Linked DNA regions of Caenorhabditis elegans. The protein of the gene in region 1 purifies or fractionates together with the protein of each later gene. This does not show direct contact. Each region holds a gene or a part of one and is shown in the gene's direction. Other genes may lie near its edges. The genes, in order: F59G1.4, K01A12.3 and C48B6.2.

Region 1 (11,060 bases):
GCCAAAGTAGCAGAACTAATGAAAGAAAAAGAAGAAATGACTGATCAATTATTGGCTACTTCTGTAGAACGGGGAAGGTGAGTTGACATTCCAAAGTTTTCATTCAAAAACATTTTTTCTTCAGATCTCTCATTGCCGATACACCGTCACTTGCTGATGAACTTGCCGGTGGTGATTCTTCTCAGCTTCTAGATGCTCTTCGTGAGCAGGAAATCTGCAATCAGAAGCTTCGAGTCTACATCAATGGAATTCTGATGCGTGTCATTGAGAGGCATCCAGAAATCCTTGAGATCGGAGAAGAAGGTGTAAGTGGAATTTTACAATATTCTTTGAATTTAAAAAAAAAGTCGTACTCGATCTTGTCCAGCCTGATTGTATTTTTTTCCAGGAATCCTCTCCAAGTTGACGGTGCGCCGGAGAATCTCAGTCCTCGCCAACGTCGTCGTCATCATCGATTCCAGAAGAGTCATCATCACCGACACTTTCAGCAAGAATCTCCGCCTACCTTCCCTCATCGTTTCTTCGATGGGGATGAATAGACACATGACGTCATCAACGATTGGCACTCAATTCCTTGTGACGTGGCATGCAACATTTAGTCTTTTTTTTTCTTTTCTCCATCCCTGTGATTTTCAAAATGCTTTACTTCAAATGTTTCTTTGTACAATCTCCTCGTTTTTAGTCCCCTTTACCCCCTCCAACAGTATTTTCGAATTGCGTGCCACGTCACAGATAGATCCCGTTAACGGGTAAAATACCATCCATAATATGTACATCTGAGACTGAGATCCCCCTCCGACCCCCCATTTTTTCTGGACCTTTTTACCCCAGTGATACACACATTTTTTTTTGTTTCAAAACTTCAATTTGCCCAACGATAATTTTCCATTCGCACCCCATTGATGATCCATACATTTTGTGATATATAGCATTTTTCTGCCCATCATTTTTTCCGACTTTTCCCCCCTCGAATATTTATAATTTATATTCATGTGTTTGTATTTTCCGTCTGTCTTTTCTGAAAATTCTTGTCATTTTCATGGTTAGTGATAGTTCTTCTCTTCTTTCCGTGCCGATCACCAATTTTTGAATTCAATCGAGCTTTTTATTGTTGTTTCACTAAAATTTCTGTCTGTGTAAGAAGAGTTTAAAAAGAAGAAGAAGATACAAAAACGAAGAATAAACATGCATTTTCTCAAAACCATGCATTTTGAATGGAAACAGAACAAAAAAATTTATAAAGGGAGAAGATGAGACATGCAATACTTCTTCATCAACTGAGTATTATACAAGAATTCAACTGGTCATTTTCATTTTGGAAATAATCATGTCTATCGTTTCTTTTCTACGGAGCCTGCTGATTTTCAAACTTTCTTTTAACTACGTATTCCAAATATTTTACAGTTTTTTTTTATCTACCGAGAAACTGTTTTTTTTTAACTATGTCCTGAACTATATTTTGGAAAACGCAGTCATATTAGTATCGTTAAATTTTTGCTCATTGACATTTACAGAACTGAGCTCCAATTCTGCATCGTTACCTGTTCCCGTTTTAGGTTTTTTGTGATGTTTTTATATGCGTCGTTAGATTCTTTAAATCAGTTGAATAGGGAAGGGTGTGGGCGTTTTGCGTGTTCCTCAACAGGAAACCAGGAAAAATTGGTATTAAAAAATGAAAAATCCTGAGTTGCATGTCAAACTTTTTATTCGAACAATCTTTGTGTTTTCACAGATTATTTTGTTCTCACAATCAGAAGTAAATTACCGTTTCAAATAAATATTTTTAATTCTGAATCGATTGGCGTTGCTCAATTATTAAGAAGAGCTGGCTAAACTTGGCCTTTCGTTGAGCCTTCTCAGAATTAATATTGTCGATAAGAACTTATTATGAAAGAACTCAACCAAATAAGGTTGCCAATTGTGAACAATGATTATGATCAAGATTTGCTTACCATTAGAACATGCACGTTGCTTATTTAACTTATAAACTTATCACCAACGTTTTCTTCTCTAAAGTAACTTTCAATCACAACTACTAACTTCATTTCACCTGCTGTTTTCCGTTTATCTTGAAAAAATGGCTTGTCTCTAGTCTTATGACTTACGGAATTGGGCAGTAAACAAGTGAATGGAAAACAAGAGAGCTGTAGTATTTTGTCTGTACAATAAACCAGAAGCTATCAATTATTGAAAAGCGTCAGTGGAAGGTGATTGGAGTGACTGAAAGATTGTTATTAGAGCTTTTGAATAAATCGTTTTTGCTCTCAAGATCTCTGAATGTTTTGGTAAACATCAGTCCTGATCGAGAATTAGTCCCTGCACGCAAAACTAGTAAAGAAAATATAGTATCATGAATTGGCAGCGGGTAAGTTTAATTAAGACACTTCTTGTCCTGAAAGATCAAAATTTCCCATAATCCTCTACTACTTGGCTTCTAACTATTTCCAAAGAATCAGCTTATCCAAATTTCGCAATTCCCAGTCAACCTCAGACTCGACCTTTTCAAGCCAGAAACGCGAAACTATATTTCTGATTTGTTCGAAACAAATTCACAACCAAGAAACCAAGATGTGTGAGAGGAGGAAATAAGAAAAGATAAAAGATGAAAAGGTAAGCAACACGTCGTCACGGCAACCATTGTCGTCGGTTTGTTCGGCTCACCGCCCCGCATTTCAATGGTAATCGTCCGTGAGAGGGAGAGGAAAAGAAAGAGCACGGAGGCACGCGGCTGGGACGGACGGACACCTTTTCTCTCCATTTCCATCGGGTCCTTCATTTCCCCATTTCTCATTTTCAAGAAGTGTTTGTGAATTTTGAATTAAAGTAGAAGATATTTTTAGAGTGATAGAGAGAAGTCATTCTCTGTTTCTGATAACATCTACATCATTGGAAAGTTTATTTTCATGGGAATGTCTAGAATGAAATATCAACCTTTCATTGTGAATAATCAGATTAACTATCAATACTGTAATAAGAATTAAATTCTCTCACGATTCTATAAAAGTTTCAAATCATTGCAAAATCTCTATTTCCTATTTTTCTAGGTCTATCCATGATTCACATAACCTCGTCATTTTCTAGTTTCACGCCAACTTCTGCTCTGGTTTTTGTGGGAAATTTTGAATTGTGTATTTTTAATTTGCTTTTTTCTAAGAAATTGTCTGGTATGCTTAATAGAAATCCGCATCCCAATAAAGCGTACGCGGAATGTAATTGTTTTAAGACTAATTTTTCACATTTTTGTTACTTTAAAACATCTTGGAGACGAATTTTAGAAAAATCACAGAGCAAATGTGCAACTTCCCCATTTCCCGTGCTCTTTGATGATTTAATACGGACCACTTTTGGCCTCACTGGTGTTTGAATCGAAATTTATTTTCGTTTTTTTTCTTGGAATCCAAAACTTCTCCTTTTTTTTCTCAACATGCTTTTTTTTCAATATCAGGTAATGAGTTCTTGAGATTTCTATGAAATTGTGTTTTTGTCTGCTTGGTTTTTTTTGACATTTCATTAATAACAAGGAAGTTATTTATATTTTCTCTGCTTAATCGAAATCATCATCTTACCACCTGATCTGTTTACATGGTGCCTGGCAAACATTGAGTTTGAAATCTAATTATAAAATATTGATATGATAAGATCAAAGATATGTTAGAGTTTCCTATGAGTTTTTTTTTTGCAAAAGTTTCAGCTTCAAAGTGTTTTTATTAAAGTTTTTGCATTAATTACACAAATTTAAATTAATTTCCTTTTCAGGTAAGGACATTTTACTTAAACGTTGCAATAAATAGTTTTAAGTGACTTCCAAAAAATCCTTATTTTTTACTCTTTAATAGTAGAATATAGGAAAAATACCACGCTTTTATATTTTTTTTGCAAACCTTGAACGGCCTGAATTTTGAACTTTATCGTAACTACTCAACAAAATTTTTATAATTCTCTGGTTTCTTACAAGTCCAACTTCTGAATAGTTTTTCATAGCTTACATCTGATTTTTAGGTACAGTTGATGTTCTCCAGTCTAGTCCTCTTGAGAATTGAGTCTTGTGAACAGGAAATTGTTATCGACCTATGCACTTTTTGAAAGGATAATGTACTTCTCGCAAATAACATAATTTGTAGATATAGTCCAATTTTTTATTCCCACAACAAAACTACAATTCATTGAACACTTTTTTGTCTACTATTCTGACTTCATTAGCTTTTACGTTTGTTTTTACTCCGTTGCTTTCATTTCTAATTAACCGGAAACTGATTTTTCATCTCTCTTAAACTTCTCCAGTCTCTATACTTGTTATCACAAGGTTCCTTTCTAAATCTGGTGCCAGCCTTCTCTCTAAGTCTCCAAAGATTTCAAGATTTCAAAACACCTGTCAGAAGTGTCTCTAGTAAACTGATGCAGAGACACGGGGACAAGTTTTTGAGCCATAATTGCTTCGTAGGTTTCCGTTTTTCACACAATCGTTTACCTTCCTTTTTTATGTCGCCGCGTCTTTTTTCTTTTTCGACTTGTTACTTTTTTTCAAATTTCATAAATGCAACAAAAAAAGAAAAAAAATACAAAAAAGGAGAAACAAGAAAACAATAAGTGCTCTTTTGCATTTTTCATGCTTATCTATAATTAATCGTGGTTTTTCGAGCGTTTAGTTATGTTTTCTTTCTTCTTTTTCTCATTAAACTTCTTTATTTTTTAAAGGAAAATGAAACCTCCGACTGCAAGAAAACCACCTTCGAAACGGCCAACTACCACGATAGCTTGCCCAAAAAGTATCTAATTTAAAAATAAATTATATTGATTATTTTTTTGAGTTGCAGGAAGTGGATCCGAGTTTGATGAAATTGAAGAAGCTCCTCCAGACCCTAGAGCAAGAAGTAGAAGTGAGGATGTGTGAGTTTTCAAAAACAAAATTGAATTGAAAACTTTAAAAATTTTAGAAGCGTTCATTGTCTACTACGAGAAATTGATGACAAGAAATTAACGAATTTGATGGGAGGACATCCATCAGCAAGATCATCTGCTTTAATTTTACAAGCTTTAAGACAAGTGAGAATAAAATGGAGAATGCTGAACTATAGCTAATATACAACTAGAATTAAATAATTACTCCATTCAAGTTATTTCTAGAAAATTTTCCGTGCTCTTGATCAGATTTACAAGCAACGTAAAAATTAGCATGTTTCTCAGAATTTTGATTTATGTAGCCTAACGAGTACGTATAGTTGATCTTATGATAAAACGTATAATTAGTTGGTGAAAAGTTTTGATTATAAACTGAATATGTACTTGTTTGGTTGATACTCGAAGCTGATTATTAGAGCTGGAAAAAAGATTAAAAAAATGAGTTTCCAAGTATTTGTAGTTTCAAAAACTCTACTTACAAGGAAAGTGTTCGAGATCACATTTAGACGTCGATTTTTTTTAGAAAGAGAATAGGAAATAATTAAAATTAAAATTAAAATAGGAAGGAACAAGTCGATCGGAAAATTTTACAGTACAATTTTATGTACTAAGGCAATTTTTTAATCATTCCAGTAGCTCGAAAAGTGGTTTGAAAAGTTGCAGATCGATTTTTTTTCTAATTCAAATTGTTCTTCTGCTGCTATTTTTTGTTTCAAACGTTTAAATGTGAGCTGAAAAATTTATCTTGTAAACGTTATTTAAATGTTATTGTGATTTTGAAAAAGCTAAGGTTTCTCAAATAAAACATGTTCAATTAAACCCTATGCAAACATAGAAACCATCGTATTTTCAGCAAATGTCGGTAGCCACGCTTGATGAATACGTTCGAGACTCTTTGGAATGGATGGTATCACATGATGTATTGATGTTAAAATCCAAGAAAAATGTGAGCATAAAAATCATTTTTCGATTAATGATTGTATTACTTCAGAGCCTTTTTGTGCGAGTTCTGCAAGCCGATGGTGTAGATTCCCGTGAACAAATGGCTAGGCTCATCAACACAATGGCCAGTTATACCAGTGGTCGCAGTTACTTTACAGGTATTTGAAAAACATTTATAATTTATTTAAATTAAAATTCAGTTCATCACAAAATCTTCCTTCCTTGCCTAATTGCTGTTCTCCGTGGCAAACGGATCCCATCCACAACACATGATCAGTTGATTGCATGTGTTCAGAAAATGAGTATACGGTAGGAAAATTGAAAGGGAAAATAATTAACATGACATTAAAATTTGTAGAGCAACTTGTCAGAAGGAGTTGATTCAAAGTGGAATGTTGGAATGGGCGGTGAATCATTTGGACCAGAAGCTTAATAATTACGCATTCGAATATCTCGCAGCACTTATTGTCAATCTGTCAACAAATGTAAGTTCCTGAAATCTAACATTGAAAATAATATAATTGTTCTAAAAATTTCCAATTTCAGTCATTGAGCCATCCGTTAATTACACGACTTGCTGATTCTTTTGCAAACTCGATTGCCAATTTGGTAGTTAAGATAACACATGGAGTGAGTTTTAAATTCACATCGATATTATCAAACTAATAGTATTTTCAATATTATTGAATGCGTTCAAGCGTATTTCAAATAAGCAGTAAGATGCTCCATTTCTGTCCCGCGTCCTTCTCATTAGGCGCCTCTCCGTCTTGTTTTTCTCGTGCCATGAAGAGCCATATAAGGAGCGGCGCCTGTGTTTGCTGCTCCATTCCTTTCATTCGTTATTCACAAGTCAGCTTAATGTCGGGTGGCTTGTATAGTTTTTAAGATAAATGTCTCCAGTTTTTGAAATAATTTGGAGCTTTTAAAATAGTTTGAATTCTAATTTTAATTAAAAACCCCTTATTTCAAACTAATTACCCTTATTCACAAATTAATATCTTTAAATTTTCAGCCCTCATGCTCTCTGTACAACACTCTTCTCCTTTCGGTACTCTCGTGTCCACGTATCCGTCTTCGTGCCAAAGATACAAAGCTTCTTGAGGCTATTCGTATCCGGTTGGAAACTCGGAGAACGTGTCCGCTTTGCAATCTTCACATACCTTTCTTAATCGCAGTTGTTCATCAAGGTGGGTTTTTGTAACAAGAAAACTGAATGAAAAAGCATATGGTAGAAAAATTTGATAATTTGGTCAGATAAGTATATAAAGGAAATATTTGAAAAATTTGAGTATTTTTCAAAAATGTGCTTGCAATTATAATATTTAACAAAACCATAAACCAACCAAAACCTTGAAATTGATGATTTTTTGTTAGTGTGTTTAATCCCAAATTTATCAGTAACTCCGTCGTAGTAACCCATAACCCAGTAGTACACTCTTTAATTCAATAAAATGTCTTGGTTATAGTTAATTTCTTTGAAAACTCACAAAATGATAATGAAGACAGAAAAACTATCATATTTTTGAAATTTCTTGAATTGTTGGATTACAGAGAGCCAATAATTTTATCACGTTGTAACTGAAAATTACTATATCCTATGGGCCCATTTGAGAGTATACTAAAGTTCAGAAAGACCCTAACTTTTTTCTGTTCATCTCTACTCTTACACCCCTTGACACTAGACGTTACATTTTGTATCCAAAAGGCGCGGCGCCGTTAATATTTGTTTGTTTTCCTTATTCGTTTTCGTTTGCATCCTCATTCTCAACACCTCGTTTTTTTCCCTTTTCTTGCACAAATTGAGGTCAGTCGGTCAGTAAACCCCCCCCCCCCCCCCCCCATTGAGGTGACCAATTGGTTTTTCTTTTCCTTTACTTTCTCCTTCACTTTCTCTCTCTCGGATCACCAGCCGAAAAAAAAAATGAAAGGGAGCGAGGAGTCCACGGGTGCCTGGACGCGCCGGGATGGGAAAATAGAAAGAGAAAATGAGAGAAAGGATGGAGATTTCTCTCTCGTTTGCACTCATCTGACCGTTCCTTTTAGGCTCTTCCGGTCGTGCAAGAGGAAATACAAAAAAAACATAAATAAATAATCATAATAAGGAAGTTAATGTTGCGATATTTTGCTCGATTCCAAAAAAAAAAAGAGAGTAAACAAAAGTGAAAGGGGATGATGTGTCAACAATGAATAGCCGCTCTATGAACTTTTCGATCTTTAAATTTAGAATCTAGTTGATTTTTGGTTAAATGGATTCTAGTTTAAGATGATTCAGCCATCTCCTGATAAAATACTAAGATTTCTTGCAACTTAAAGTTCTCAAAATGCTCACTGCAATTTTAAGTGTCTCAAGACTTTCATTTTGGAATTTGTTTTTTTTAATACCATCTAAAACCATTCAGCTTTAAAAAGTTCAAACTGAACCATTTAATTGATGATAGCTAAACTATTTTATAGATATTATGAATTTAAAGAAAATTGAGCACATAGATGAATTATAAAAAAAACAGTGAACAGATAATTTACAATTGATTTACCGTAGTTTCTCTATTAGTATTGCACCAGACTTTGAATGGTTATAACTCGGATCATTCTAAAAGTATCTACAATTAATTAATTACAGAGCTATAGAAAAATAACTAACAAATATTTTATCTGTTGACAATTTCTGTATAAAGCAAACAAAAACTAAGCTATATTAAACAATAAGGTGAAATACTAATAGTGAAAATACGGAATTTTGGAATTTGGAACTTGAAGCATTTTCTATTCTGGTTTTAGATCATATTTTCTGGTTATTGAAATTGGAATAGAAAATGAACACATTAACCGATGTGCAAAACAATTTCAACACTCTAATAAAAATTTGAATCTAGAGCATTGCCTTTTCCCTATTTCAACTGATATTTCCTCTTCCAATACCTGAGTGATAACCGGGAGGTTTTACTTTCACTATTCACAGCGCCAGTCGTTCATGTCCTGCCCATTCCGTAGTTTGATAATAATCGAACTGTTCACCAGCGCCGTTTTCCGCATATTTTTGCAAGTGTCACTTTTCATGTACCCATTTGAGGGAAATGAAACAACGAAAAACCAGTTAGACTTCTACAGTTTCTTCTTCTTCTTCTCCTTCTCTTTCACTCCACCAACTAATCACCTACCGTACCCCTTACTCGTTTTCTTGTGTTCTCTCAAATTTCAATATTCTATCACATGGTTCAGGAGGAAAATATTTGTGTCTGACGCCACTTGATCGCTTTTTTGTCTATTTTAAAAATGTAGAAAATACATAGAAACTGTGGGATTTCACGAGGTAGTTATGAAACGAGATCGATAGTTTTGAGCGAGAAAAGGGGTGTTCTCTACGTTCGATTGTGTGGAACCGAGAATAGTTAGACACTATCTAGAGAGCATTCAAAAATAAGAGAATTTAAGATAGGGACGTGCATGACGGACGCGGCGCCATCGGCCAGAAGAACACTGCCATTGGCTTTCATATCCCTTTCCTTATCCCCTCTTTCTGACTGTTGCCATTGAATATTTGAGCTATTTTGTCAAATGACAAATCCAAACCACCTGGCTCATTAAAATTCAATTAAATACAATTAAATTCAAGAGAAAGATGTGCCAGGATTCATATATTCAAATTTTTATGTGCATGTAGGTATTACCGTGTCATTCTTTCTACGCCATTCTTTCAAAGTAAACTGATAAGCAGTAATGGCGCGAGCACCGCCACGCCAAACGCCCAATGTCATTTCAAACATGTATTGTTTACTAGCTGAAGTCAACATGGCAAAGTTTTCAATTTTATTCGTATTTTCTATATGTGAAGGTAGGAAAAAGTCTAAGCTTCAGAATAGGAAAGCTCACCATTTTTTTAAATTTTGTTGCAAAATTTTATAGGTCAGAATAAAACATACAGTATCATATTCTTGATTCAGTGTTTCCCATTAAGCCTTGTTTGAGGATAGTTCAAAGTTCACTACTTTCGAGGATTAGAAGTCTCAAAATCATGATGTAGAATTGAAACAAGTGTTGCCAACTTTCAGCAGAAATTCAATTTAGTAGAGTACACCAACTCTTACCAATGTTATTGTTAACAACCAATCCAATGCTCATCTTCTCTGAAATTTCTCTGAACACAGTTGTTTTAGAACTAGATAAAGTTCTCAGAAGTTTCCCATAGGTTACTGTAACGACCTTTCCCACCCATTATGTCTTGGTACCCCTTCCTAGAGACGGCGAATTTCGAAAACGAATGTGTATGTGTACCAGCCGTCCAGTTCAAATGGGCACAGGGGACAATCAAAATTGCACGACCTCTCTCTCTCTTTCTATGTTTCGTTTTTCATCCTCTTCTACTCCGCGCTCACTCCGCACCGCTTCTTCTCCCTAAACAGCCGCCCTGAAAGGCTAGATACTCAGTGAGAGACAATAAAAGTCGACGAGACGCCGAGTCTCCCTTACTGCAAAAATGAGAGGGGAGCGAGGTGGTCTACGTCTCTGTGGCACCTAACACTATTTCGGGGACGCGTCGCCAAGCGGTGGTGGTGCCAGCCTCACGGAAAGGCTTGCGGGGCGCCGCGCTCGTGTCCCTCCGTGCTCTGCTGCGTGTGCCTTCCGCTTCTCGTCTGTCCTCTCTCTCAGTGCGCGGGGGGACCGCGGCAAAAAAGAATAACGACGAAGCGACCGAATGACCCAGTCTCTTCACTTCTCTACTTTCGATCCTCCTCCTTCAGCTACTCCTCCCATGTCCATCCATCCTCCGCCCCATCACTCCCAGAGACCCTTTCGGTCACTCTTTCCAATAGACTCTACCACAATCGGTCGGACTCATCACACTTACCTTTCAAATATCTAAACTATTCCTGAATATAATAAATCTTATAGTTTTTAGATTCTAGACAATTTCTAGAGTTTTGGTTGGTTTATGAGTTTATGCTTCCGGCCTGTTCCCTGAGACCTCAAGTGTGAGTGTACTATTGATGCTTCACACCTGGGCTCTCCGGGTACCAGGACGGTTTGAGCAGATCTTTTTTTCTGTTTTCACGGGGTTTTTTTTCACACTGGGAGCTAGTTCCAATAAAATGGTATTCGGGGAAAAGGGTCAAACGATTATTTTCAGAAGTCGACTACAATAGAGTTCCACTAACGCCAACTGATGGAGAAACTGATAAAGTGAGTATTTGTAAATGTATGTATTTACGTAGTAGAAGGAA
Region 2 (13,242 bases), on another chromosome or scaffold:
TATTTTGCAATTTGAATCCTATACAAGTAATATTTTTGAATACTGAATAAGGATGAATAAACTACCATTTTGCAAAACAACTTTGGGCTTTTAAATTGGAATTATGGATTGTATGAAAATTATCAAAAACTTTTTTGTGGAACTAAAGTGATAAACCTAATAAAACTTTGACAAAATTTTTGGTAACATTTTTTATTTTGACTCAAGCGGTGAAAACTTAGCTTGCGTCCCTTTTGAGATATTTAAAGCACTGTCACGTATTCGAATCCATACAGTATTACAGTACAAATACTTTGAACATAACTTAAGCTTTAAACTAAAATAATTGTTTTCTTCTTGATCGGCGATTTTCCATCAAATTGGTGAAAACTGTATTTTTATCGCTCGTAGTTTTGAAATATTTATCAACGCGGACGATTAAATTGAATGCAGCATTAAAAATTCAGCACTTTTCAAGTGTTTCCTTAAAAATGTATTACTCTATCATAGAAATAAGAAAATAAAATGATTTGAAGAAATCATTGATAAATTTAGTACTTACGTATACTATATATAGTACTTACGTATACTCACATTTTAAAATTAATTTTTGAATAAAAACTTAAAAATCATTTTTGAGCTCTCTGACATAGGAATACATTTGAAATACATTTATCAGTTTAAATAAAGTACTTGAATAGATTGAGAATCCGTTTATTCTCAGTATGTGGTGTTTTAATAAGCAAAAAAGTTTATTTTAAAGTAAAAAAAGCTAAGTGAAGTGTTTTTATTTTATTTAATCTATTGATTCACAGGCTACAATAAATATTTTGAACTGAAACATTATGAAAAATGGAACATTTGAGAGCAAACAATTATTACTTGATCAGAACATAAAAGGACCACTCCAAAACATTCGAAAACCACTTTTTCACTGAAATTGACGTTTTTTTGATCCGCTGATTCTGTGTGGGAAGATAAGTTTGAGAAGTAAGAGAGAGAGACTAGCAGGACCAAAAGTTTACACGCGCTCTCTCATCTGAAAAGAAGGTTATAGTGGAGTGACGTTCCCAAGAAACTTGATTTCGGCATATTCAGAGAAATTTCTTTTTTGTTCTGTTTTCCTTTTATTTCATGAAGTGTCCTTGTCTTTCAAATTTGGTTTTACTCGTCGTTTTGCATCAAAACTGACTCCGGAAAACTGGGAGGAGGAAGAAACCGAGCGACAAGAACCAAAAAACTAGGAAAGGAAAACGATTGGTGTATTCAATCCAACTCACTAGTCAACTTGTTCTTCTCATCGTCTATCAAAAAAGTCCGGATGGCGACAGGAGACATTGGGGGGGGGGGGGGGGGGGGAGACCTCAAGCCCTTCTTCTATCCTTTTTCATATAAAGATATATTCACTGCTTTTTCTTTTTGCTCCCCCACCCCTATTTTGAGCTTTTCAATTTTGATGCACTTTACGCGATTTCAAGACTATTGTTGAAGCCGTGAAGTATCCGGGGGCCACCCAGTTTAATTAGAATTCTGAAATTTCCTATATAACTGGGTGGTAGCTCAAATTGAAAATTTGTTGGTATTGTTAGCATCAGTAAATTTGATTGGAATTTCGTATACATTTGCATAATAGTCAAACATGTCCATAATCGAACATTCCAAAAAATGTGAGCAATGTACAATGTTCAAAATCAAATTATTGGAACAAAAACTTGTAGAAATAATTGATATCGGTCTACTATTAAAATCATGATAGATGACCACTGTGACGTCAACTGTGAAAATCGAAACAGTTTCCAAAAGATTTACTATTATATTTAGTCATTTTAGTAACAGTTGAGAATACTCCACCTTTAAATTAGGTTCTTTCAAAGATAATTGATAACGTCCACCTGCCGTAAAAAGTTACTACAGCAAATTTGCTGAGTGAACTATATTTTTTTGTACGTAGTATCTATACATTTTTCGGATGTTGTAGTGATTTTTTCTAAATTTCAATAGCAAAAAGACGATAATAAAATAAGTATTTGAACATTGTACTTCATCGAAATACTTTGTATCAAAGATCCCTCTTTAAGATGGATATTTTCAGAGCCACCTTACTACATGCTAACTTACTTTAAATGTGACCTCAGACCCCTTACGCATAACGAACAATGTTCAGAGAGCGTCAATTTGAGAAGGAGGGGCAAGTGAAAAACGAGGTTAGGAGAGATTTCATCCACTCTTCCCCACACAGACTTCTCACATTTGATATGTGCGCCTTTCGATCGCTTGTCTCTTCTCTTTTATTCACCCCTGCTCTCTGTTTTTCCGGAAACCGGCATCTTGCGGGTTACAAAAATAAAATATCATTAAAGCATAGAAATAGGTTCTCTGAAAATAAATGTGGCATTAGGGAGGGGATCGGACACGCCATGATGAATAGGAAAAACCTTGCAATGCTCGGAAAAGTCTTATCAATCTAGATAACTCTGGAACACTCCTTGGGTAGATTAGTATATCATGAAAAAATAATTGAGATTTTCAATCAGAGTTGGAGTAACGACCCAGAAAACGTTAAAAAATCAAAGTAACACTGTTCAAAAAAGTTTTTTTAAAATTTAATTTTGTATAAAAAAAGTGACAACCACCTTATATTCTATCAAAATTGCACCCAGGCGCACAGTCAATAATTAGTCAGTCTTGGTTTGTATTGCACCAAAAATGTTATTTTTTGTTTGTGCCTTGCATTTTGTCAGAGCCTATAAAATAATTTACTCTTTTGTTACGACAGTTCACAATTTAAATTATCTTTCTTTAGTCTAGTTTTTAAAAATCTACGAACTTTTCATAAACTTGAAAATTTAACCGAAGCTTAAACTACACTTAATAATCTTTAAACGTGTGAATTTTAATTATATTATTTGAGCGTTTTGAACTCCATTTTTAACCAACATCGCGTTTAGTGTCCAGTTAAGTTATTCAAACTGTATATTATAATGAACACAATTCTTCCAGCCAGAATATAAAATTTAATATTATGTGGAACAAAAACATTATTTGGTGATAGTGTTTAAAGGTTTGTAACAGTTATTTGTTGAAAAAATATTTTAACCAGTAAAATGTTATGACCAAATTACTTGGTTGCCTTAATCTTTAATTTTTCATAAAGGCTAAAATAATTTCTTGAGAGTTCTAAAACAGACTCTCTGGTTAATTTTTTGCTTTCTAGCTTTTTACGTCTCTGTAGTTTTTTCTTTTTTACATTTTTGCTACAACGACATATTTTTGTTAGAACTTTGATAGACTAGAAATAAAAGAAAACTGTAATTGGAGTCTGAAACTATTCTTACATGTATTGTAGCGTCCGAAATTTAGTTATAACGTAATTGTTCTTTTTTGCGTTTTATTAGCTGTGTGTTGCGCACTTTTCATCAATCAAAAGAATTTTTCCATAAAAAGGGGTTTTCGTTTTTTTTAATATTTTATATATTAGATCCACTTGAAGCAATTTGAAGCACATTTAGATAATAAAAAAGGTTTTGAATTCAAATTGTTTAAAGTTTAAAGGCGATTCTCAAGTTTTGCTAAAAAAAAAGGTTAACCCCTCTACACCACAATCCCCATAGATTCACGTTATATGTTCCCTCATTCTCAAACACCAAAACAAGCACTTTTGTAAAATTGAAACGTCAATTGAAGGGTGCTTGGATACAAGATAAATGCCACCCTTCTCACCAGAAGTTATAATTTCACTGAGTTGAAAAGCTATACACCATGACACTGAAAGAAAAAAGAAACCGAGCCACTTTTAGATATTGGAGCGCTGTGTGAGCGATTTTATGGCTCCCCGTATCGAGTTGGTTACTAAACTCGCTCAAACCTTGTTTTACACAATACCCAAAAAAGCTATATATATTTTGATATCCTATTGTAAAACATATCACCTCAGAGCACTTCAAAGTTTAGTACCAGCTGCATTTATGCATGTATACGTGTCTGCAGCTCTTGGCAACCGTCCGACGCACTTGACTCTTGTCTTGAAAAGTTTCAGCTGTTTTTTTTTTCATTCTGAAAAAATCAGGACTTGAAGTTTGATAATGCCACTGTCAAATGAATGTTAAAAGAAATTATTGTGTCTGGTCTGTAGGCAATTTTACTCTATTTCGGAATTTTCGAATTTATTAGGAAAATAAAATACGCTTCAGCTTTTAGCTTTGGAAAATTGAAGCAACACTTTTTTTCCAAATCTCATTCACCATAAATTAAAGGAAATAAGATTTTTGCTCAATAATTGCAATTGCACGCCCCTGACAACAAAACATTCAATATCGTCATTATTTTCTATATACTCCTCTGTAAATGAAATCTTATGAATCTAAAAAATTATAGATTTGAATGGAATATTGTTTGAATGGGATAAGCTACTTCCAGTATCTTGTTTACCTTAGTTTACAACGTCTTCTTTTTCGACTTCGTTTTGTCATTAATCTCACCTAGCAGGCAATCACGTGTTCATTCGTGCCTACCTACCTATCTTCTATTTTTGAAATCAGTATTCGGTGTTTGACACATTTCACGCTCACTCATTTTAACTAATCTGTTGGAAGACAACATTTTGGCAAGTAATGTTCCCATTCTCGTAGGCAGGCCTGTTAAAGCTTTAAAAATTCTTGACTGAAAAATAGTGACATTCAATAGTTGCTCTTGAGCTCTCAAGCACATGCCCTCCTCTTCTACTAGCTCATTGACTCAACCCACATTTTCTAGCTCCATTCTTATTTTCTATCTCATTTCTACTTTCCAATTTCAACAATTTTTTTAGTAACAGTGATCAATTGTTCCACGGTATGTGGTAGCGTTGCAAGGAAAAATGGAGTCGGTTACTAGACATCGGGCCGATATGATCTCGTTTTTCACATTCGACTCATACATCTCAATTGTCGGTGTGGCATACACAGCTGTTGGTAAGTCGGGGCGTACTGTTTTTTTTTGGAAACATTAAAAATATATTTTCTCATTTGTTCTATTTGGTAATATTGAAAAAAATTCCTCCGGGATTTTTTTCGATGCGCACAGTGAATCATTTACAAGTGCTTATTACTGATGGGTCTTATTACTGATGGGACTAGGAGACTAGGAGAAACCTATATACTCTATAAATACAATGAAAATTCTCGAACAAAAGTTTTTTGCAGGTCTCTTGGGAGTCTTCTGCAATGTAACAACGGTTATCATGATTCTGACCAACCGAGTGTTTCGCCTTTCCGCATACACAATAATGGCAAATGTAGCACTGGCAGACAGTATTGTCATGTTAATTGGTAACTTTCACAAAAAATTAGTAGTTGAAAACTTTTTACAATATCATCAACTGCTGTGCACGGCGATCGGAAATTTTCGGCAATTTCGCCAATTGCCGAAATAGCCGAAAATTCGATTTCCGCTCACCCCTGATCATCAGTATCACAAAAAACTTGATAAAATGTTTCTAGGGGGTAAAAAGTGAAATCTGAGTCACACCGAAACGTGGCCGCGTGGCGCAATGGATAACGCGTCTGCCTACGGAGCAGAAGATTGTAGGTTCGAATCCTGCCGTGGTCGAAAACATTTAAATTTTTTTATTCGATGTTTTCGGCTAATATACATTTTCTGCTGTACGGCTTGCAGTCATTTGGTAAAAAATCCCAAAATTAAGAAAAAAGTATATAGGGGGCACCCGGAGTTGAACCAGGGACCTCTCGATCTGCAGTCGAATGCTCTGCCACTGAGCTATACCCCCACATGTACAAAAGTGATCCAGCTACGGGAAAATGATTGACATTTTGCGGAGATATGACCAAATAAACTGTTTTGGACGTTCTCCGTGAAGGACAAATACGCCGGGATGGACAACTGACCGTGTCTGCGTTTGTCCAATTTCCCACACAGCTTTTGGTTTTTTCTCAACAAATTGTCCATCATTTCTCTAAAGCCCAAAGCGTGAACGAATGTGGGGGTATAGCTCAGTGGCAGAGCATTCGACTGCAGATCGAGAGGTCCCTGGTTCAACTCCGGGTGCCCCCTAAATACTTTTTGAACAACAACTGTAACCTAGCAAGTAGTTCAATAGAGCGCTGTTACTTCAGCCCGATTGATTTCCATTTATCATTATCTTTTCTGCAATGATTCTTGTCCGCCAATTCCCTCTCTCTTTTCTTAAAAAAGTCAAATATTTGCTGACCACATGGGGGTATAGCTCAGTGGCAGAGCATTCGACTGCAGATCGAGAGGTCCCTGGTTCAACTCCGGGTGCCCCCTAAATAATTTTTGACACATCGACTTTTGTTTTTTGAAAAATTGGCAAACCGTACTCCTAAAAAAGAGAGAACGAATTTTAAAAAGGTTACGACCACGGCAGGATTCGAACCTACAATCTTCTGCTCCGTAGGCAGACGCGTTATCCATTGCCCCACGCGGCCACGTTTTACCTTTTCTTCGATTTAAGTTGGTTTGCTGAATAGTTTCATCCTAAAAAATTTGCTGTTTCAAAATTCAAAATGATAAACACATTTTTTTAAGTTTTGCAAAATACTTAAAATAATAGAATTTAATTTCAGCTGGTGTAGCATGCGGGATGGATGTTATGTGGCCAAATCCAAATGATCTCACGTCATTCATTCCCAGTCTTGAAGAACCATACCAGAAGGTAATTTTTCAAGAAATCTATTTTTTGGAAATTTCGACATCTCTTAATTTTTTCAAGTTCAAGCTGCACTATCTGAACGTTTTATTATAGATTGCCCCTGTGTCGCTCCGAAACGACTCAAAAACAGATTCATCAGCAGCTGGTTTCGAGACTGGAAATATTCACGCGGTGCTCTCGTTTTCATTTGTCGCTGCATGGACAGCTGGAGTGGTCAGTGTTTAACTGCAAAATATGCATAAGTGAAGGCGGGCCTCTATGTCACCAATATTAAATTTCAGAGAAAATATGAAAAAAAAGTGACATACTTCCTTTTCGCAAGAAAAATTGCAGACATATATTTAACAAAAGGGGGCTCAACTCAGAAAGAACACTATCTTGTTCCAAAAAATAAGTTCTTTGAATACCTAAATTTTTTGTTTTGCAAAAAAGTTAAAAAAAAAAAACTATAGCCTACCTCTCAGAATCTATGAATATTTGTTAGTAAACTAACTTAACTATAAAAACATTACAAAATATTTCAAAAAATATTAGTACACTCAGTTTTAGGGGGCACGAGTGTCTAAGTGGTGGTGGTGTAGCACTTTTACCTAAGAGGTCGTAAGATCAACCCCACCCAACCCAAAGGCTCACCAAGCCGGCTCGGAAAGTGGGTAGTGAAATTGGTTCAAGGCAGGTAAATCGGGCATGCTTGAGACGAGAAGAGGTAAAAACGCCACCTGTAACCCTGACAAATCTCTTATCCGCAGGAGGCTTTGTCAGCTCACTCTTGTACCAAGAAAAAACCTACCTTTATTAATTTTTCCAGAAGTGAATAAATTTAAGTTTTGCTTTAATATCTTTAAAATAACATTCTCCAAGCGAAAAGAAAAATCTTAACCTGAAGAAAATTTTTTAAATAAAAAATTTGAAACTTTTTCTATAATTAACGCTTTAAAGTAATTCATATTTTCAGATCAGCTACGCAATGCTAGGAACGAACCGATGCATTGCAATATGTTATTATGGAACTAAAGCAAGAGCACTCAATCAAGTATCAGTTGCTGTTGCTTGTTCTGCAAGTACATGGATAGTCGGAATTGCAGCGGCACTTGTTGGAACACTGTCCCAGCCAATGATTGGAATACAGAGAACTATGTGGAGTATCAGTTTTTTAGAACCAAGACCTCACACGAGTATGTTGCACTTTTAATTAAAAATGTACAATTTTTGATATTCTAGCCCTGTTTTTCACACTTCTTTGCGCTGCAAATCTGCTCGGTCTTGGAGCTCAATGGGTGTGCTCAACTTTGGTTTTGCTGAAAATTCGTCAAGTAAAAAAGAAAATCAGCAAAAACAAACTTAATCAAAACTCAGCAAACAGATTCAGGAAACAGGTAATTTTAGCGCTCAATGAAATAATTGTAACTGGCAATTTCAAGGCTCGACTGACGTTTCAATTCTTCTACCCATCAATTTTGTGCACAATTTCTACATTTCTCTTTTTCATCAAACCATATGCATTTGAATATCTTTCCGGGTGGCAATTAGTTATTCTTCATCTCGTAAGCTTCAAAACTTCTAAACTTAAAATTGAAACTTGCAAAGTTATTTTTTCAGTTATGGTTGTGCAATCATACCTGTAACCCATTTATTTATGCATATTTCAATGACAGAATGCGCTTGACATACAAAGAAATCTTAACATGTGCGGCGATTCGATATCAAATCAGAAAACGAAGATCGAGTCACCCCTTCAGAATGCATGGGCGACATAATGTTTCTAAGTATGCTTGTTTCTTTTTCGAAATGCTAAAAAAATATATTCACGACATTTTAATTCAATATTTCGAAAATTTCCAGACGATCCAACGCAGCTGGAATGAAATCGACGCGAATATCAGCTCGATCGGGCCGTACAAACAGGGACGGTAATTTTGTGCGCAATTCACTGCAAATGCAGGTGAGTGTTGCACGAGCACATATTCTTTAAACTTTTATAATTGTTATTTGAAGAGTCGAGACTTTGAGCAGCTATGCGAGTTCATAATGAGAGTCAACCCATTGTACGATTCCAGTGAGGGATGGAGGGAAAGTAGCGATGATGAACCATTCCAGCCAGAGGTAAGGACTTGTCTTTCTAGTTATTCAAAATTTAAAATGGTATACTAAACTTTTCTAAAGCTTAAGCTTTAATCTATACCCAAAAAAAAGACATATTTTTTGATAAACTTAATGCATAGCAAGCGAGGTATCGAGAGTCGGAATTGAAAAATTTTCAATCGCACCATTTTTCATTTAAAAAAAAGTTATTCTAATTTAACCCATTACTTTTTGTACACGAAAACAGCTTGAGACAAAACTTTCAATACGTTTTAAAGAACGGTTATTAAAATTTTTAAAGTGATGACTAAACTCATAAAGGTGAAAGGCAGTAATGCTCAAGAGTAGTTAGTATACATACCATCCAACAATTAAAACTAAATGGAGTAATAAATTGCATCAAACAAAACATTATTGAGAAAATCTTGAAAACTCGATTATGTTACTGTTTAAAAAAAATTGGAATAAAGTTTTTTTTATGTATCTACTCTTCAGAGTTTAGTTCATCAATATGTGTAAACCATTCTAATTAGTATCAGTAAATTTTAAAAAAAGTTCCGCTGAAATTATTAATTTTTTACAGTTCACAAAAGAATTGGAATCTGCTCACAATCAAGGTGGATCATCCCGATTTGACAGCGAACGAGAGGCGAAATCTATCGTGCTAGATTTGGGGCGGCAAACAGTTGAGCATTGGGTGAAATTTGCCAAAAAAGCGAGCATTTAATTATTTTAATGGATGACCAACTACACATCTTATTTGATGATCTCTTTTTCCTCTCTAATGATCTATGAACATCTGATTCTTGCCAAAATTACCATTTTTACATGTTTCTATCTGTCACCCAAATTTGTGAGTTCATATGAACAAAATCTTCCATGTTGTTGTGTGTTCCCGTGTTGTGCACTAACAAAGAGAGTTCTCGCGACTGTGATATTTCAATTTGATTGCATAGCTTTCGGTTTTCTTTTTTCATTGTACTTTTAAAAATTACCACATCTCCTCATTATCACACATTTATTCCATGTTTTACCATGAATTGACATTCTAATAAAGCCATAATCAAATTTTATAACATTGAAAAACATTGCACTTTGTAAAATTGTCTTATTTGGCGGAAATTTTATAAGCCTACGTGCTTACCTGCCGCCTACTTTTGCATATTAACATTAACGTTTGGTTCTTGTATAGTGTACGTAAAATAGTTTATTGCCTATATTCAAGTAATTTATTTAGAATAAAACTGTAAAATACAAATTAAGCAAAAAATGATTATTTCTGCAGTGCATATGTACTCTGGTAGGCACAAAGTAGGCATGTAAGTTGCGACTATTTAGCGGCTCAAAATTGTAGAGAGTCATGTGAAAATAATTTATTGTGTATCAAGAAATATAAAATTAAAATAAAAATTGGCTTGCAACATGCTCAGTCCATGAAGAAAAAAAATGGGCAAAAACTTGATAGATTAATTAAACTAAGTTAAAAGGAGTAAAGAAGCTGAGACCGGATGAAATGAATCGAGATGCGAGGAGTAAATAATTACAGGTTGGCCACACGTGCTGAAATTTGAAAAATTAAGAAGTTGTTTATTTTTAAAGGCGAGTGTCACTCTAGGTTGATATTTTGGACTTTAGTAGTCCCCGGAGGGTTTTTATTGACGGATAATTAAAGCAATGACGCAAGTTGCATTCTTTTTGTTGACTTTATGAAACGTGTAGGAAAGAATTGGTACAAGAGAATTTAAGTTCATTTTACCGACTCATTTAACAAAAAAAGTTGCCTTGTTTTGACTAAGATGTTCAATCATTTTGACACCATAGGATTGGTTTTTAACAAATTATCTACTGGCGCTGATCAATCGTTAGAACGCATTCAATTAGTCAAATTTAAATTGCACACTTTTTATTAAAACATTATCACAAATTGAGTTCAATTAACACGGTGTTATAAAGTGCTATCCATTCTTTAAGTAGACTCTTTGTACTATTGTCATTTCCGCAATATAGAAGTTTTTAGTAAAAACGTACTCATGTTTTCTGGTTAATTTCAGGCATGCGAAATCAAAATCATTGGCTGTAACTCCAAACGAGTGATGCTTTATTTGAAAATTGGGCGCGTTAATTATCTGAAAATGTGTTATAAATTGTATAAGAAATTTACGATTTACGATGTCCACTATGGAATTGACTATAACTAGCTTTCGTTAGACCACTTTACTTTCTTGACAATGTTTACAGCTGCGTACAAAATTAAAATACAGAAATTTAAATTGCGAGGCGTGAAACATATGATTGAAAGTATAGACCCGTCAAAAAGCTAATGTTGTCACTAAATCAGCCAGTTGCTCTGTTAGCATGCCCACAAAACTTACGATCATTGGGTTCCGGTGTGCGCGCTCTCTGGAGGCCTGGAACTTGTAACGTTGAGGTTGGCACAACGGGTGGCGTTGGTGGTGCTGTTGCGTCGCGATGGACTACTGATGAGCCCTCTCCATTGTTGATCGAAGTTGGTTCGATAACTGTAAAATTGAAAAATTACAAATATTTCGAAAACGTGTAGTCTACATATATTTACCACTTTACTCAAACATTTCTAAGTTCAAACTTTTGGTTTTTACATACGTGAACACAAGATTTTCTGGGCGGATTACCTACCATGGATTTTGACGTCGGATTCGGCGTCGAGCAGAAGACGCAAGCACGATGAGCACGCTCCCATTCTCTCGTCGTTGTCGAATGATGAAGAGGCGGGTCGAGAAAGAAGTTCTGCAAAAAATACGCACTTTGAAAAAAGATTAAGAACAGCAATCTGAAGTCTGGGTGGGAAAACCAAATTGGAAAGCTTAATCTGGGAGCAAGACGTCGTTTGACTGTCCGCATCTGGGAATCGAAACGTAGAAGATAGGCGGAGCTCGGAAATCAGAGTTCAAACTTATGTTCATATTATAAATGGCAAGCAACCACAAAAATAATTACACGTTACATACATAAGCGCGTTAAGAAAACATCAACAATGAATTCATAAGGGAGCTGAGACATGTGGCTGGAATTTTGGTTCAAGATTAGTGTTTACGATAATACTGTAGATTGTGAGGCCAATCAAATTTTTGGGCATTTCAAACATTCGGAAAGTTCCAAAATTTCAAAAAAAGTTGTACATAGAATATTGAAATACAGTTTTAAAAATATTCTACCTATTTGGGTGTGATATTAACTACATTGTTCAGCTTTGCCCATAAAATTTTTAGATTTTAAAGGAATAACAGATAGGTTTGTTCTGTTCCGTTTCAGTTAGACGCTGATAAATCTTCACTAATTTTTTCATCTGATTTCAGAAATGTGACAATTCTATTGAAAAATAATCACCATAGCTCTTTAGAAAACGTTGCAGCTAAAAAGTGATATACTTCTAATACAGCAATAGACAAATGTTGTCATTTAACATACATTTAACTTGAACAAAAGATACGGCTAATCTGGTAAATTGGCGTGTCACATGTTCTGAGTGAATGTTGATATAGCCGAGGTATGTGGGTATGGAGAAGTTTCATGGAACTTGTATAAAGTATGACTGCAGGAGTAGAGTTATTCGCTTTAATGGGAAACAATGAAATATTATTAGACAATGATGTTAATGTGTAGACAACGATCACATATGCTTTATTGACACGAAACATAGATTTTTTAACACATGATACATGTGTATTATTCCGAAACTTAATTGCTATGAAACACCAAAAATTAGTAAATGTAACAAAAACCACAAGAAAAAATGCGAGATAAATGTTTTAAAAGTTACCTCAAAATTTAAGTTAAGTTTGTTTAAAGGTGGAGTACCGAAATCTGGGGCTTTGCTTTTTATACCCAAAATAAATTTTGATTTTAGCTGAAAATGGGCTACTTTTTCCAAAACTTTGAACCACCATAACTTTTTTTTTGAGTTATTTTAAAAACGTCTCATTACGAAATTCAGTAGTTTTGGACTATTTTGGGTATAAAAAAGCAAAGTCCCAGATTTTGGTACTCCACCTTTAAATATCTATCTATCACTACATAGGTTCCACAAATCCAATGATGAGTAGCAATATCTACAATAAAAAATACTGGAAAAACCTTTTCAAAGTTGTGTTAGATTATGTTACTGTCAGTGTTGGAATTTACCAAAAAGAAGAATTCAGTTTTGCGAATTTGAAAAAAAAAACATTCTAAAAATATTTTGAAATGTTCATTATTCAAAATACGGTAATATCTATTTTTTCTCTTAAACATAAAAGTGCAATTTTTCTAAGCCTACGAACACAAAATATTTCACACGTTTTTATTTTATTATACTAAAAATTATTTTTTAACTCGCGCTTATCATACAGCCAAATAATTAAAGTTTTTAATTCTTTGGTGGAATTAAAAAGTCTCAAAATAAAATGGGATGTTTAAACTTTTGAGTTCATATGCTCAACGAAACGTTGAGAATTTTTTCAGCGATTAGAGGAAAACCGACTATTATAATTATGCGA
Region 3 (7,211 bases), on another chromosome or scaffold:
TTATAACATTTAAAATTCCCCGTTTTTTTTCTAATATTCTCGAACTTGATTTCCGACAGTTCTTTCTTTTAATAAAAAATTATGTTAATGTTTTCAGTTCGCATAATATGTCGAATCATCACTCGAGCTGTTCTTCGAGAACTGGCGGTGCCCACCGTCGTTGTGATTGTACTGAGGATCTGACGGAAAACGATAAGCTGTGGAATGACTTTGAAGGATGTGCTCAAGCTGTGGCTCGTCTCTATTCGGACTCCTCTTGGAGAAATTTCAGAGGCGCTGCAGAGGGAACCACGCAGTTGTACAAAGTAAGGAAATTGTTTAATTTCATGAAAATCGATTAATATAAAAAATTCTAAATCGAATAGAAAATTTAAATGAATTTAATTTCAGACATCTACTGACAGTTATCGTCGAGGATTTGAGAAGGGATTTTCATCGGGTTGTACGAGTATTGCCAAGGAAATATTACAAGCATTTCGAGATCCATCCAAAATTGATATGAACATAGTTCTCGAAGTATTATACAGAAATATGGCAATTCCGCGAGAGGAACGACTTACCGTCAATACTCAAAACGGAATCTCATCCGACACCTTAGCGGCGGTTGAACTTTTTCAGCAGGTTAGCATTTTTTTTTGCTTTGAAATCTAACATATTGTTTAAACCCCTGAAAAATCGAAGAAAAGTTTTATGTTGAGGTTCTCATTTATTTTTTTGTTTTTCAGGCACTGAACCAGCCGCAAGTCCCACCGCTGAGCACATTGAGCCTATTGCCACCGACAACTAGAGAACAGACGACAGACACTTTGGACGAGTTTCTCGCTAGTCAGGTGAGCATATTTTATCTATAACTTTGAAAAATACATACAAAAAAAACGACAAAAAAAGTAAAAATTCCTGCTTCACACTTATTTTTTTAAAGGTTCAACGCCACCGAAAACGTCAGCGATCACCAAATAACTCAACGACATCTCCAACGTCACAAATGAAACGTCAACGACGTCTTTAAATCTCTCAAAAATCCTCATAATTCTCACTTTCCAATCTCTTTTATTAGAATTTCCCTTCTTTTCTAGTAGAAGAAAACTGAAAAACGTTGCCTTTGACACCGGTCTTAAAAACTCAAAAATGACTGAAAATCCCTTTTAATCACTGCTATTATTACTTGTTTTTGGAAATTTCGAAAGCATCGGGTCTTTTGAATCTCATGGTACTAATGCATAAGTAGAAATCTATTATCTAACCTGAAAATGCTTTCGTTTTCAAAAATAAGGAAATAAATTTTGACCCCAAATTCAATTTTACTCAGATTTTTTTACTTCTGTACTGGTTTTCTCTTCTCTCTCGCTTCCCCTCTCCTCCAAAATACTCTTTAATTCTCGAATTTCCAGTTGATTTTCAAACTTTTGAATACTTTACTCGGAGTGATCTTCTCTTTTTCGCGAAATTTTAAATTGTTTCTTATTACAAGTTCTAGCAAGTTTCAGGGTTTCATTCTCTGTGTAGATTTCAACCGTCGATCATTTTGTAAATAAACCGCCATTTCCGATTTTTCCTGTCTTCATTAATGCAATATTATTCTCTTTTCTAGTGTTGTTTCTCATTAATCCTCCCAATTGTAATGAAGCTATGAAATTTCTGATTTTTATATTTTTTGCAATCAGGTTTAAATGGTTCACAAGCCGAATACTTGTTAAATTCACCCAAACGGAAATAATTTTATTGAATTCTTGTCTTTATAATTCTACATTTAGTCAAATAAGCGTCTTCAAAGTTTAGTTTTTTTCTTATTTGTTAGAATATATGACTTTCAGACAAAAAACCCCGACAAAATGGTGCGAAAACTGAAAACCCATGAGCAAAAGCTGCTTAAAAAGACTGACTTTATGTCATGGCAAGTCGATCAGCAAGGAAAACAAGGAGATATGCTCAGAAAGTTGGTGTAAATGATAATAGCTCTGGAGTTTTATATTTATTTTTTAGATTCTATGTGAAAAAAAGAGAGCACTACGCTTTGTACAACACTTTGGCTGCAAAGGTTACAGTTCAAAAATCGGATAAAAATAAATATTTCTAATCTTGAAAATTTTCCAGAGTCGTGAAGTAGCTGATCTTATCAAAAACCTATCAGAATCGGATCCCTTCCGATCAAAATGCACAGAGGATATGCTCACCAAATTTTACGCAGCTGGACTTGTGCCCACTAGTGATACGTTGGAAAGAATTGGAAAGGTTTTTGTCCTGTTTCGATTTTAATTACACAAAATAAAACATTTTTAGGTGACTGGAGCATCATTCGCTCGTCGTCGTCTTCCAGTCGTGATGAGAAATATTGGAATGTGTGAATCAGTCAAAACTGCGTCAGATCTCGTGGAGCAGGGACACGTTCGAATCGGAACGAAACTGGTTACCGATCCAGCATTTATGGTTACACGATCGTCTGAAGATATGATCACATGGACGAAAGCTTCGAAAATCAAGAAACACGTCATGGATTATAATAATACTCGAGACGATTTCGATCTCATGGATTAATTTTTGTTTGTTTTTAAATTTTGATTTGTTGCTGTTGTTGTTCTCGTTGTTATCAATAAACATTTTCAGATGTTATTGAATTCTAAAATGTATAAAAATATTCACAAACTTACAAAAGCTTTTGAAATTTCATTCAAAAAGGCGGGTCTCGCAGCGAAATGTAGAGCTTGAAGTCGACATGAAAATGAATTCATGTTTAATAGAAAAACTATAAAAATAGAAATCTTCATTAAATTACTTAAATATGTTCTTCTTTAAATTAATTAAGCTGTCACTTGTTGCTCTTCCTCTTCCTCTTCTTCTCTAATTTTTGGTAATTCCTTTGGCGAGTGTTCACATAGTTTCTCAATCATTGTCATTTCATTTCCACGATCTGTTTTCACAGCCCATCGAAGGCGATCTCGTAGAGACTTTAATTAATAAAAAATTAGTTATTATACAGTTGTAAAAAAGATTTGACGAAAAAGTACGGTACCAGGTCTCGGCGCGATTAGACATCTATTGCTCAAAAGAGTTTACACCATACCACTGTGGCATTCTGGGTTCTGCTTTGTAACAATTTTAATCGACTTTAATATACTCGTTCTTTGAATAAAGTTATTTTCGTTACAGTCTTTTTTTGATTTTCTCGGCATTTATCATTTATTTTGAGTTTACAATGTTTATATAATTTTTAAGCAGGATAAGCTCTGCACATTTGTTGGTTAGTTTTGTCGGTTTCTTTATTAAACTTAAACTAAATATAAAAAAGTTACCTGTTGAGTATTTGCCCAGAAAGATCCATTTAAAATAGTATCCACTTTTGAAAGTTTTGACAAATCTGCTGCCAATTGGAATAATGAGTCTGAAAAGTTCTCGTGAGACAACTAAGAACAACCTACTTACTACTTACTCAATGAAGCCTTTTGATTTTCAATTTTTGCAGTTAAACTATTGTAACTATCCATTGCATCGAGAAGCTGCAAAACTCCCATAAATTAATTTCAAATTATTCACGATTTCCATTACTTCTCTATATGATTTATCAAACAGTGCATCCAAAGAAGGCAAATTTCCCATATTTCCAGTTTTACACGAATTCAAAGATAATGCTTCAATTGCTCGAACTTCTTTTGTTCGACAGTCAATTTTCTTTGAATCTTCCTTTTTCTTCGTTTGAAGCTGTAATATTTTTTGAAGGATATTATTTTTTCTTCTACTTAAAAAAACTTTAATACCTCTTGAATTTCATCCAATGTTTCTCTCATGTACTCAAATGGAATAACTCCTCCAATTTCAATTCCCGGCGCTGATTCAGCAATTCGTTTTACCAATTCCCTTGATGTTATTTGTAATAATGAAATATGTTCTGATTGAATACGGTAACGATCTGGAAATATTTCATTCTCCTCGTACTTCGAAGTTTCAAATTAACGCTTTCCATCTGGGCACAAGGAATATCGAACAAATTCCAAATTCCAAAAATTTAATAAAATAGGCTTCGGGCAGGCAAGCTTAAGGTAAGTACGTAGGCATACCTGTCTATGCTTTATTGAAATGGAAGAAACTTACTTGACTTGTTGGCTGCAAACACTGAAACTGTCTTATCAGAGCCATGAAGAGAAAATCCAATTGCTTGTGGATTTTCAGATTCGAACTCTAAAAATCATTGTTAAGATTTGAGTTCTATAAACATCGCACCTTAAACACTCAAAACTATCGTTAGTTAGCGCTGGTATTTTTGGAAAATCACTCATAATAGTCCATTATATACTAGCATCGTTAATATCATTAATAAACACTTCAAAAATTTTAAATAACTTTGAAAACGTTTGTCCTACAAGTATTCCAAAAAAAGTTAGTTGCTTGGCACATGTTAATTAATTTTCTATATTACAATAGTTATGCCTTTTGTCAGAATGAAGGAAAAATAGCTCACCAGAAAATAATTTATTCAGTGGCATAACCGATCCAGCTGTATCAATTGTCACTTTATATTTTGCATTTCTATCAATTTGTGATTCCTCAAACAATACTTTGAATGGCAAATCGATTGATTTGGTGACTGTTACTAAAAATAAAGTTATTGAACTATTTTAATTCGGTTAGTAATCTGAAATTACATTGGGTGAATGCGCAATGTGCTGCAATAGTGACTTTATTGCTAGTTGGAGATTTTTTGGATCCGACGTAAAATGGAATTTCAATAGATGCAGTGGACTCTGAAAGGTAAATGGATTATTAGAGTTTCAGAACAAAATAATTTTTTCAATAAATGTTGAATTGAGTTGCGCTTTCTGTAGATTCGAAAAGTATTAAATTTATGCAACAAAAATTACAACTTTATATGTTTTTAGATTTTTCCACTATCAACGTTTCCAATACTTTTTTTCAATTTTTAAATTTACCATAACTGTTTTTGTTCTTAGGAACAAGAGTTCAATGTAGAACATTGTTATAAACGAATTTGTTCCAGACCGAAAGTTTATGATAAAAACTTACTTGAAGTCCCCACATTAAGAATTACTTGTTTGGATGGAGAAGCACATTCCGATAGAATATTGATGTGAAGTTTAGAAACATTTTGAACTTCTGAGAATTCTACAATAAGGTTGCAGTATGGTGCATTGCTTGCAGCATTTGGCTCAATCTAAATTAATATTTGAATAATGTTCCAATGAACAAACTTACAGTTCGTTTACCAATTTCTCCAATGCTCAGCTTCATTTGAATTCCTTCTTTTCTTTTGATAGCTCCACCGGCTGCATCTGATTCCTTGATTTTTTGCTCCATTCTCTTATATTCTTCCATTCGTTCCGCGTAATTTACTATCACTTTGTCCTCGGGTAACTGTAATTTTTTTGCGATAAAAATAGTGACCGATTTGTTTCAATTACCATAGGTCTACTGTATCTGTTAAAATTACTTCTAGTTGACACTAATTTCGAATATTATATCTTAAGTCTAATTCTATTAATATTTGAACGAAGATAAAGCTGAATACATATTAGAAAAGATTGTGCAGCGCCAGTGTGAGAATTGTTAAAGACCACTCTTAAACAGTCAAAAATGAAAGTAAAACATTAAAAAAAAAGTTTAAGTATGATTCTTATATTCCAAAAATTTGGCATTTTGCCAAAACTATAATTTTCGAAAGCTAAAAATGATTTATCCTGATACTTGATAATTTTAAATTATAAATGGCCCTATATCACATCTATACAAAAAAAAATCTCACCCTATATAAATTTGGCTCGGTTCCAAGATATCCAACCACAACTTTACCGTCTGGTGCCATCATTGTAATGGTATTCTCATAGGATTTGCTGAAATATTAAAATTCTTATTTTAATTCTAGAAATGTCAAAAACTAACTTATAAGAGCAAACTAATAGTGCAACTGGTGACATTTGAGCATTACAGTTCCATACAAGTTTATTATCTTGAAATATTAGCAATGTATCGTCAGATGTTGAAACTATTAAACGATTGAATTGAGTGTTATCTGATTGAGAGTAAACATTAATAAAAGTTTGAAAATATATGAAATCTTACTAATCAGAAGTGATCTATAAAGACACATTGCCATTCCAACAGCTTCTAAACGAATCTGCCAGACAACTGATCCAGTTGCATTAAATGCAGACACGTGTCGGCGGCATAATACAATGGTTGTTGGTTTAGATCCTTCGGTTACTTTCATTTGTATTGCAGTATCACCCAGATTAAAAGACCAGTCATACTGAAAAAAAGAAGACTCAAATTTACTGTCAGTGTAAAGTCAGCATATTTGAAAAAATGTTCAGCGTTATCAAAATTCGACAGCTTGGGTTTATTATTTGTAATTAACTCAATACTTTTTAGTTTCCCGATGATATTGGACATTCGAAAAATATTCAATAGTCCACAGCTTACATTAATCTTTTTCTGCGATCCACTTGACATAAGACTGAATTTGATAGCAGCTAAGAATCCATTATTTGCAACAAAAAGAGTTTGTGTAGTCTGACAGTAACCGATTGGTCCTGGTTGAAGAGCTCTCAATGGAACCATTGAAAAAACACATTGATCTCCTTGAAACAAAGATAATTTACAATCAATTGATTGCACTAATATCTGTGGAGTTGATTCTTCAATTGGTATTACACACATATTCCATGCAGATGTTGAAAAAGAATGAGAGAATATCTCATCAAGTGATGCGAGGGTTTCATCAGGACTTGCTGAAATTTTAACCATTTCGTACCAGGGCTGTGCGGCTGTCGGCTGTCGGCATCAGCCGACAGCCGAATTTTTTTACCAGCCGCACAGCCTTGTTTCGTACTTGAGCCTATTATTTTTTGTATATTACAGGATGACCCGTATTTATTAAGACAATCCGAATCAAATATTGTATTTATCTCTCTTTGAAGTTAAATAAACATGTATCAACAACTATCGGTTTCAAAATGAAAAGACTCAAAAATATGGAGCCTGTCAAAATAGATTTCATAGTTCGATTTATCAAAACGTGTTTTATATTAACGAATTAGAAAGATGTATTCAATTATTAATGTAATGTTGGATCAGGAATATCTTGGAGTTGACCTAGTTTGCAAAAAAACAGTTTTTATGATACCACATCTGTTTGTCATAATTATGAGCCACTCTGTATGATAAATAACAGCTGAATAGATACATAACTTACCAAAATGAAC

What was found.
Region 2: the proteins of F59G1.4 (region 1) and K01A12.3 fractionate together in Caenorhabditis elegans (co-fractionation; one large-scale study listed by BioGRID). This does not show direct contact.
Region 3: the proteins of F59G1.4 (region 1) and C48B6.2 fractionate together in Caenorhabditis elegans (co-fractionation; one large-scale study listed by BioGRID). This does not show direct contact.

Annotation. Positions count from the first base shown.
Region 1 is NC_003280.10:5,891,475-5,902,534, forward strand, and holds the start of F59G1.4 (LisH domain-containing protein), read left to right. Parts: upstream 1-4,695; 5' UTR 4,696-4,699; coding exon 4,700-4,766; intron 4,767-4,814; coding exon 4,815-4,887; intron 4,888-4,934; coding exon 4,935-5,043; intron 5,044-5,752; coding exon 5,753-5,845; intron 5,846-5,890; coding exon 5,891-5,999; intron 6,000-6,041; coding exon 6,042-6,150; intron 6,151-6,199; coding exon 6,200-6,326; intron 6,327-6,387; coding exon 6,388-6,471; intron 6,472-6,853; coding exon 6,854-7,028; intron 7,029-8,754; exon of another isoform or gene 8,755-8,854; intron 8,855-10,329; exon of another isoform or gene 10,330-10,592; intron 10,593-10,736; exon of another isoform or gene 10,737-10,881; intron 10,882-10,966; coding exon 10,967-11,019; intron 11,020-11,060. Other genes in the region: rfip-1 (FIP-RBD domain-containing protein), read left to right, coding at 1-77, 125-303, 389-753.
Region 2 is NC_003284.9:8,616,783-8,630,024, reverse strand, and holds K01A12.3 (putative G-protein coupled receptor K01A12.3), read left to right. Parts: upstream 1-4,834; coding exon 4,835-4,928; intron 4,929-5,159; coding exon 5,160-5,285; intron 5,286-5,485; exon of another isoform or gene 5,486-5,574; intron 5,575-5,659; exon of another isoform or gene 5,660-5,743; intron 5,744-5,955; exon of another isoform or gene 5,956-6,027; intron 6,028-6,189; exon of another isoform or gene 6,190-6,261; intron 6,262-6,349; exon of another isoform or gene 6,350-6,422; intron 6,423-6,560; coding exon 6,561-6,649; intron 6,650-6,739; coding exon 6,740-6,859; intron 6,860-7,601; coding exon 7,602-7,821; intron 7,822-7,867; coding exon 7,868-8,190; intron 8,191-8,245; coding exon 8,246-8,412; intron 8,413-8,488; coding exon 8,489-8,588; intron 8,589-8,641; coding exon 8,642-8,749; intron 8,750-9,311; coding exon 9,312-9,455; downstream 9,456-13,242. Other genes in the region: K01A12.2 (uncharacterized protein), read right to left, coding at 10,269-10,288, 11,101-11,247, 11,384-11,447.
Region 3 is NC_003279.8:6,914,952-6,922,162, forward strand, and holds C48B6.2 (U3 small nucleolar ribonucleoprotein imp3), read left to right. Parts: upstream 1-1,814; 5' UTR 1,815-1,832; coding exon 1,833-1,936; intron 1,937-1,983; coding exon 1,984-2,038; intron 2,039-2,094; coding exon 2,095-2,232; intron 2,233-2,280; coding exon 2,281-2,535; 3' UTR 2,536-2,610; downstream 2,611-7,211. Other genes in the region: haps-1 (Essential protein Yae1 N-terminal domain-containing protein), read left to right, coding at 108-305, 391-621, 726-830, 923-1,009; bbs-9 (Protein pthb1 homolog), read right to left, coding at 2,799-2,945, 3,291-3,379, 3,428-3,494, 3,544-3,696, 3,753-3,904, 4,087-4,173, 4,454-4,585, 4,638-4,736 and 7 more. UniProt on the Caenorhabditis elegans protein: Component of the U3 small nucleolar ribonucleoprotein. Required for the early cleavages at sites A0, A1 and A2 during 18S ribosomal pre-RNA processing.